2 linked regions of the Caenorhabditis elegans genome follow. The protein of the gene in region 2 purifies or fractionates together with the protein of the main gene of each other region. This does not show direct contact. Each region holds a gene or a part of one and is shown on either strand. Other genes may lie near its edges. The genes, in order: R03H10.2 and F54D5.4.

Region 1 (5,203 bases), 7.4 Mb from region 2:
TGAATCTTAAAATGTTTTGGAATATTTCTTTTCTTCCTCCTGTCCAGTCAAGAGAATCTTCTGGGGTATGAAAATTTCAAACACCAGCCATTAATTTTCAAAGTTCAAGTAAACGAGATTCTCATGAAATTAGAGAAAATTATAGGGCAAAACTGCGCACAAATTGGCTCGGGCTTTTGCAGGAAACCCGATTTTTTCTGGAATAAAAAGTTTCAATTTGATCTTTCAGCCGGCAATTATGTTGGTCAAAACAGAGTAATTTGGAAATTGTAGGCTTTGAAATTTTGGAAGGTTTGACGAGAATTCAGAAAAAAAGGTATCAAAAACTACAAATTCGGAAGAAAATGAGGCCGAGTTCTTGGGCTTAGAACGTTGGGCAAACCCTTGACGTTTAGGCTTAGGCTTAGAATTATGCATAGGCTTGGGATTTAGGCTCAGTCTTAGGCTTGGGCATATGTTTAGGCTTGAGTTGAGGCTTAGGCTTAGTCTTAGGCTTACGCTGAAGCTCAAACTTAGGCCTTTAAACTAGGGCCTTTAGATTTAGTCTCAGGCTTCTTTCTTCACGGTTACTATTAGGCTTAAGCTTGGTTCAAGACTTTTGGCATACACCTCATCCAAAGCTGAGCTTTGATTTTTTTCAAAAAAACGTTTTCCCATTTCTAGAAACATCAAAAGTTCTGCTCCCTTACAGTACCCCTTCTCAAGCAAGCTTTGCTCGAGAAACCTCGTGGTACCCTTTTCCCCTCCAAAAAATCTTGCTGATTAATTAGCTCCTATGACTCCTCTCTATTCATCTTCTTCTGACTTCTTCTTGTTCACCCGTCTCTCGCCTCATGACCATGCTCGGTTGGATGGATAACGCGGGGCGGAGCCAATTATCACCAGAGCACACGGGTGCCTATATAAGCAAGAGCAAGAGAACACACTGATAATACTCTAATCTCTTGAGTTTTTCAAATTCTTCAATTGCTCTAATTTCTAAATTCTCTACAAAATGTTCCACATCAATCAAGACATTCTCACCAACGTCGATGCTCACCGCTCCCCAGCAGTCAAGGCTGCAATCCAGAGGACTATCGAGGAGAAGCGACGTGGGTTCCGCAGATGTGTATCTGCATTTTATTAAGCTTCTTGGAAAGCTCCTCTATGAGCCCTAACTGTTCTAAATATCTGTACAAAAATCTACACAAGCCGCCTTCACGGGTCTCTCCACATTCGAACTACTATTTTTTTCCGGTTTTGTTTTTTAAATGTTATTTTGTTGTTTTTTCTTCATTGTTTTTTGAATTGTTGTAGACTCTAGAAACCCTTACTTTCTTTGTATATATTGAACCAAAATTGACATTAAAGCTTCCAAAAAAAGTAATAAATTACATTTTTATATATCAAAAGTGTCTTGTTTTTTCTAGGGATTTTCAGGGTTTTCAGATAATTTCAGATGCTTAAAAGTGAACAACAAGATGAAAAATTCATAACAAAGAAGCGAGAGTACCGAAAAGTTTCAGATTTTTTCAGATTTCAGAAATTTTAGGAACAGGACTGGCTAGACTAGGGCTAGACTTATGCGTTGGCCATAGGCTTATGGTCAGGTTTAGGTCTATAGCCATGTTTGGGCCTAGGACTAGATTTAGGCCCAAGACTAGGCATTAACCTAGGACTAAGGGCTAGGCTTAAGGCTAGCTCTAGGTTTAGGCTTTGAGCTAGGCCATCAGGATTCACAACTTCGGTTAGTAGATGTTAAGCATTTCAAGGTTGCAAGAGCTGGCACTTAAGCTTCTAACCTAAGTATGGTCTTCAGATATGTATTTAGGCTTAGACACCTGCTTATGCCTAGTTCTAGGCTCAGGAGTAGGCCTAAACCGAGTCTCAGGTTTAGGACTACCACTAAGCTAGCTTTTTCTAAACTATATTTTTCACTACGAAAAGGAGAAAATCCTAGTTTGTAGTTAACATATTTTTCCGACACAGACTCACAGATTCAAAGATTCAATTATTTCTCTAATAGACCATATCACTATTCGAACCCAACTTTTCTGACTTCCTCTTCACTTTTTGATCTAACAAAAACTTTTGATCTATCTAACTAGCACCTATTCATAATGTATTTACAGCTGCAGAGGGTGTTTATTAAGAATAACCGAGTAATCAGGTCATAGATTCTTTTGAGTTCCCGAAACATTTTGTGATTCAGTCAGATTTGGTTCTAAAATTGAGTTATGAGTCAGGAAGTATTTTGGGAATCCGAAACGTTTGGGCTTATACCTTCAGGCTAAGGCTTGGGCTTTTTTGCTTAGGACCCTAGGCCAAGGCCCTTGGGATTAAGTCTTTCGACTTAATCCCAAGGGCTTTTCGACACATCCCATCCAGGCTATCAGGCGTAGGCCTTCAAATGTAGGCCTTCAAGTTGAGTCTTTCAGGCTCAGCTCTTTGGCTTAATATCTGTAGACTCATGCTTCAAAAATTCACTCTTCAATTTTGTCTTTTCGAAATTTCGTTTTGCAGTTTTCACAAGGTTTCGTGCATTTTTGTTATTTATTTATTTGTATACCTAGTATCTCATTAGTAATAATCTTTTTCCAGTTAAACCAAAAAAAAAATTTATAATCTTCCCGGAACCCCCTTCCCAGCTTATTTTAATCCTATTAATAATTCGGTTTAAAGCTCAGTGTACCGGAAAGTTCCAATCCCAAAAAAGTTTGAAAATAAGCACACAACATATTTCTTTTTGCAAAAATGTGAAGCAGTATTCATGTGCATATAATCTTCTTTTTTTTCCTTTTTCGAAACAAACTTTTTCTCATATCCGGTTCACTAAAGATAGCAGATGGATTCCGGCCAAGTGTGACCGCGGTCGGATTTTGAACTTAAATTTTTTGGGGAAAATTTGAAAAACTAACCGCCACTGCCAATGCCAGTGCCATAACCAAAAACATTCCGACAGATTCTCTCCAAGTCTGTGCGCCTTTAAACGTGACTTTTGGGTTATTCGACACTGTCCGAATCGGTGGAGCAGGGGGTAGTTGAGGAGGCGTTTTTGGCTCCGAATCGAAATCGAAATCCATTTCTGCAGATAATTTTGAAAATTAACTGTAAATACTTTTAGCAAAGTTGGAATAAAAACTTAAGGAACAAAAGACAATGTGAAAATAAAAAAGAAAAAAACAATTTTTTTTCTAAAGAAAAATGTTGCAAACGTTGTTTGGAAATTTTTTTATTCAATATCGAAATTTCCAATTCCCGAAATTTTACATTAAAATCTATAAGCCTAGAAGTTTACAAGCTTAAATAAAATGCGTCATGAAGTTGTTAAAAAACTATAGTCTTTGCAACAAAAAAAACATTAAAAATTTAGAGAACAAGCCTAAGTCTAAGCCTAGCCTAAGCCTAACTCTAAGCCGAAGCCGAAGCCGAAGCCTAAGCTTAAGCCTAATCCTAAGCCTAAGGATAAGCCTAAGCCTAAGCGTAAGCCTAAGCGTAAGCCTAAGCGTAAGCCTAAGCGTAAGCGTAAGCCTAAGCCTAAGCCTAAGCCTAAGCTTCACCATAAGCCTAAGTCTAAGCCTAAGCCTAAGTTCAAGCCGAAGCCTAAGCCTAAACCCAAGCCTAAACCCAAGCCTAAGCTTAAACCTAAGCCTAAGCCCAAGCCAAATCCATTCCTGAACTGTCCAGCTAATAAAAAGTATGTGTTAACAGCTTCATAAATCCAACAACCGACTAGTGAAAATGTGGTAATCTATCTTCCGGAGAGAATCTACTTCAGGTTTCCAACGTCAAACGCATATTAGTATATACTAATACGATAATAGGAAAACGAACGGAATGGAAGGGAAGAAGAAGACAGGTGGTAGTAGTGGAGAAGAAGCATCAGGAAAAGAGAAGAATATGACAAAACGGGAGACAGGCTTCTGGTACTAACCGACAGAAAGAAGAGAGAGAGAGAAAGAGACCACCTGCAGGGAATATACAGTCAAAATCTACTTATCGCACTTTTATGGGTGGACATATGTGTGTTCGGAAATGCATCGCTGGTTTGTTGTGTGAGGCATTCCGAAAAAGGAACATGTAAGGTTTTTGAGGGAGAGAAATGAGTCAACACTTAACTTTTGTGAGATGCGTTTAGAAGACGAAAAGGGAAGGTAATGAAGGACCCGAGACAAGTAAGGTCACTAGGAATAAGGTGGAGGGGTACACCGGAAAACTGAAACATAGAAAATAGAAAATTGCCTTAACCCAAAAAATAGAAAAAAAGTTTCACAAAAATCTCTGAAATTTTTGAATTTAGAAAAACTCAAGTATTAAACAACTCCACCATCTTGTAAATATATTACTCAGACGCAAAATTGCAAAATTTTAATTAATTTTGCAATTTTCCGCCAAAAATGTGATACCCGGCCTCGATACGACTAATGTTAGTTAAATGCCAAAAAGTGTGCGTCTTTAAAGAGTACTGTAATTTATCTTTTTGGAATTTTCATCAATTTTCAGTTTTGTGCACTTATTTATTTTTTTGAAAAAAATGTGAGAAATCTATGTAAATTAAATAGAAAAAAACACTGCAGAATTTATTTAGGGTAAAATTATAGTACTCTGTAAAGACGCATAGTTTTCCGAATTTGAGAAAATTTGTCGTTTATTGTTTTTTTCTCAAAAATAGCAAACTTAACGTCCGGATAATGTTTTTTCGTCATATTTGAATTATTATTTTTTTTTTAAATTCTTAAACAAAATTGGTATGTAAAATACAAATAATGTTTGAAAAAGTCAACAATTAAAAAGAAAATTCAGAAATTTTTGGCTTTCCGCTAAAACACCCTAAAATGTTACACCAATATTATAGAAAATCGATAGCTTTTATAAATTTTTAATATAAAATGTCTTCTTCTTACCTAATTTAACAAAAACATTAATGCAAATTCGCTCCGCCGACAATAAAAGATTTCAAATTTCACACGAAAAAAAAAATCAATAAACACACAAAAGTATGCAAAATCGAAAACAAACGAAGATAAAAGTCTGCGACCTTCGTAAGTATAATTAATGCATAGTGCCCCCTCCCGTTCGGGATAAAAGCGGTAGAAAGGTGTGTTAGTAGTCTGTGGTCCCTTGGTAACCAGAAAAAGAGACATAGAAGGAGAGAGTGGGAAATTAGAGGTAATCGGGTTGGAAAAGTGGCCACCAAAGGACAGGAGACTCTATGGGTATTAAA
Region 2 (3,934 bases):
CTGTCTAATAGTGAAAAAAAAACGACGTAGGAAAATGATGGTGGAAATCAAACAATCGAGTTGGCAAATTTTACTGAAAATTGGTGATAACCGGGAGGAAAATGAAACTACTCGTTGATTTCATTATTGCTTATCAGTCACTTGGTCAAGAAATACTGCCCACATGTTTGTTGTATGAATCAATTTCAATTCGAGATGTAAAAAGTACTTGAAATGGAGAATACCTCTCACAGTTAGCCTAGACTTTGTACCTTCTACAAGTTAATTCAGTTGACACCGAAAAATATGACGTCATATGGAAGAGGTTTTCATGACGTCATGATTTATCTGAAGCGCCAAATTTCCGCATTTTCATAAATAAAACAAAAAGAGCTACTGTCTAACATTAACCTCATATTGGCAATACTTACAAAATCGAATATTTCCATCGTTATGTCCAGGTTTTTTCTCGAAAATGTATATTGAGAAGCTTCTCAAAACTGGCTCAAACTGCACATTGCGACTTTGAGTCAGTTTTTCAGCAACTTCTTGAAATTTTCAATTAAAATTTGAACTATTCTCAGAACTTCTCAATAACTCATTAGAAATTACGAAAAAATTCGTACACGACGATGAGAAAAGGGAAAATTGCAACGTGGCAAAGTGTGAGCAATGCGGAGACAGTTTTTGACAGAACTTAAAATTTAGACAGATTGGTTTTTTTTAATATTAAATTGTCAAGTTTCTCCTAATTTTTTCATGCTTAAATCAAAAATTTGAACGAATATTATATTTATTCTCTAAATTATCGATAAGTTTGTCCAAACTACCATAGTTTAGGACATATCAAGTTTTGCCAGACGAATAGTAAAGATATCAGTGTCAGAAACAGAGTCGTAACTGCAGAAGTTCATGTCCTGAAAGATATTTCAAATTCAATGAGATCTAGGCATATTTCATACCGGAGTATAATCATCAATAGCGAATTCATTGAATTGAATGCAAGTGATCGCCCATCCTGGACGATTGAGGTTGAGCACCAAGGTGTTGACAATGTTCTGAAAAAATTGAATGTAAGCCAATTTGGGGATCTGATCTGATTTGAGATCTTTCCAATTTAAGATTGAACTTAATGTTTGACATGATAAGAATTGATTAATATTCTGAGTTCTGAGAAAAAGACTAGAGGTAAGGCCCCACAGGAAGGCCTTATAAGGTTAAGTGTGTGAAATATTGATTATTGGTCAAACCGTAAGCTAAGCTATATATTGGTCTGAATTTTTTGAGGTTGCAGGAAATATTATGATTTGGAGAATCAGGATTTCAAAGTTTCCAGAATTTCGAAGCTGAAGTCAAATCTCAAACCTTGCAATTGCTTCTCGTAGTTTTCTGAAGAGCATTCTTGACGTCTTGTCTCAAAACTGGATCTACACAGGACTTTGCATTTGGATCCTCGTCTAAACAAAATTCTATTGAAATTTCATTTTTAACTTCTAGAACCTCTTTGTCTAGCAAGTTGATGCAAAGCAATTACTTCTTTAATCTCTCGTGATCTCTCAATTCTTGTGCCATTATTTCCAGACATATCAACTTTGCAATTTTGAAGAGCAGTTCCAGTATTCAAGCATCCTTCAAAGCAATAGTATTTGGTGTTGAGTCTAGTTCCTCCATATGCGAAATCAGAGACACCTTCGGCAAGGGAACTGATCCAATAACCAGTGTCGTCAGTACAAACTGGAATTTAAAAGATTCGAATTTGAGAGGAGCTAAGCCCTAACCATGTGGAAGTTCTGAACCTTTTTATGACAAATTCATGGTAACAATTTGCGACCTAAACATGTTTTGGCTAAACTTAAATGACAAAATGAGTTTATTAATTCTTAAATTCAAGAAAAGAAACTCACGATTTCCAGTAGCGTATCCGACTGCAAAGATCAGCAAAGCAGAAACGATTTGGTTCATTCTACAAAATAAGATAATACTGTATTTTTCCCGGAAACACTTCCAAAAACGGAAGAATTTAACCTTATAAGAAAATAATTCTAACAACGGGTTATATTCCGAAAAATTGACAATATTGGCTATGGTGGGCGCTAGGGGCCCTAGTCACCCCCGGAACATCTAGTAGATGTAACGGTGCATTCAAAGTTGGAAGAATACCTTTAAATGGCAGATTAAGGAAGTAAAACATTAAATAAATAAAGTGCCCGAAAAATATAATAAAGTGTTCACAAGGTTGAAAAAAAATCTTCTGTATATACAAAGGAAATACTATTTCAACCTATTTCGCATTGATAAACTAGGTTTTTTTACAAACTGATATACATTTTTATATGGAAACCTAACGATGATTTCATTATTCTTATCTAAGTGGCAATTGAAGTTTGGCTGATTAAATGACATTTGAAAGAGGTAAGGGTTTGAGTTGGTGCAAAAAATCAAAAACATCATCTATATTTTTTGAAATATTGTTTAAAAAATGGTCTTATTTTTTTTTGGCAATTGATTGCTCCAGCAAAAAAAACGTGGAATACCGTGATGGATAAAGAATTGGAACATCAGATGCCTGTCGAGCACTTGGATCAGGCTGTTGAGCCAGAACGTATTGTAGAGGTCAGATCTATCAATAAGCGTGGATGTTTCTAGTACTGTCAAAACTTCAATCAAATTGCCGAATACTTTCAATTGTTGCCTTTTCAATACAGGAGTTAGCCATTATTAATTGAATCAATTTTTTTTTTTTAGCATCTCAATGGGATACCTCTGAAGTCACCCTTTCCATCTTCTTCTTCTCACACCTCAAAAGCAAACAAATACCATCTGTGAATTGTGTCTTTTCCTGTGTGAACGACTACCTTCAATTAGTCAAATCGGACGACATACCGTATACACCTGTTGAGTAGAATAAACGGTAGCCGCTAAAGAGAGTGAGCCCTTCCGCGCGGACTAACAACAGCTGCTCATCGGAAAAATCTCTCAGCGATTTCATTTTTCATTCACATAAGTTATTGTTTTGTGAGGAAAGTTTATTTTATTGTTGTTTTTTGTTGTTTTTTTTTGCATGAAAATTGAATTCATAGAATACCCAAATTTCCTAATGAAACACTAAAATTTCCTAGATTTTTGGCAATATTTAAATAAAGTTTTGGTAAATTACCAAATTATCAAAATATTGGTATCTTTTTTGAATAGTTTCGAGTGCAACAAAGGTTAAACCAAATTAAGATATAAACCTTGTTTAAACTTCTTTGAACTGTGGTAGGCAAAAACGAAGTCTATTAAAAAGTTCAATTTTTAACAATTAATTTTTCTTGTTGAAGAGATTAATTGTGTTATTTTGTGATTTTAGAACTATAAAAGTGGTTTTAAGATCTTTAGATAACAAAAATCAATATTGCTACTTACCAATAACTAATGCTAACTTGGTACATAGATAATATCTTGCTCAACTACACACTCTAATTCTACTACGTGGTTCAGTTATACCTCCCGGCTACCGACTACTGCTCCGTTGCAATCACCACCCTTTGTTCTGGACAGTTCAAAGGATCAATGCCGAACGTTTATTTGAATTGCCTTCAGCGGCGGTTATTTTTCTGTTTGCTCGTACTTTTCTGTCAGTGTGTACTGATTTTTTTCAAAAAAAAAAAGATGCCAAAATTGGTAGTTTGACCGGTTTTTGAGTGATATACTTTGGGCAGCTTTGCAATTTTTCAAACGTTTTCTACAAAAGTTATAGTTTAGTCTCATTTCACTAACTATTTATTTTATTAATTTTCTGACAGAAAATATCTTCTAAAGTTCAAATTTCTTAAAATTTTAAACAAATTTTCAGGCTACAGTACACGCGTTCAAGGCGTGGTGGGGCCCACGAAATATTGTCTTGTCTAATTGGCCAATATTCAAAATTTAATTTAAAAACCATTTTCTTCGAATGTTTTTTCCTCAAATAAGT

The links.
Region 1: the proteins of F54D5.4 (region 2) and R03H10.2 fractionate together in Caenorhabditis elegans (co-fractionation; one large-scale study listed by BioGRID). This does not show direct contact.

Annotation. Positions count from the first base shown.
Region 1 is NC_003280.10:4,153,634-4,158,836, reverse strand, and holds the start of R03H10.2 (uncharacterized protein), read right to left. Parts: upstream 3,065-5,203; 5' UTR 3,063-3,064; coding exon 2,898-3,062; intron 1-2,897.
Region 2 is NC_003280.10:11,567,826-11,571,759, reverse strand, and holds F54D5.4 (DUF19 domain-containing protein), read right to left. Parts: upstream 1,943-3,934; 5' UTR 1,942-1,942; coding exon 1,884-1,941; intron 1,714-1,883; coding exon 1,480-1,713; intron 1,437-1,479; coding exon 1,345-1,436; intron 1,038-1,344; coding exon 942-1,037; intron 897-941; coding exon 816-896; 3' UTR 756-815; downstream 1-755. Other genes in the region: F54D5.23 (Ovule protein), read left to right, coding at 2,518-2,592, 2,725-2,805.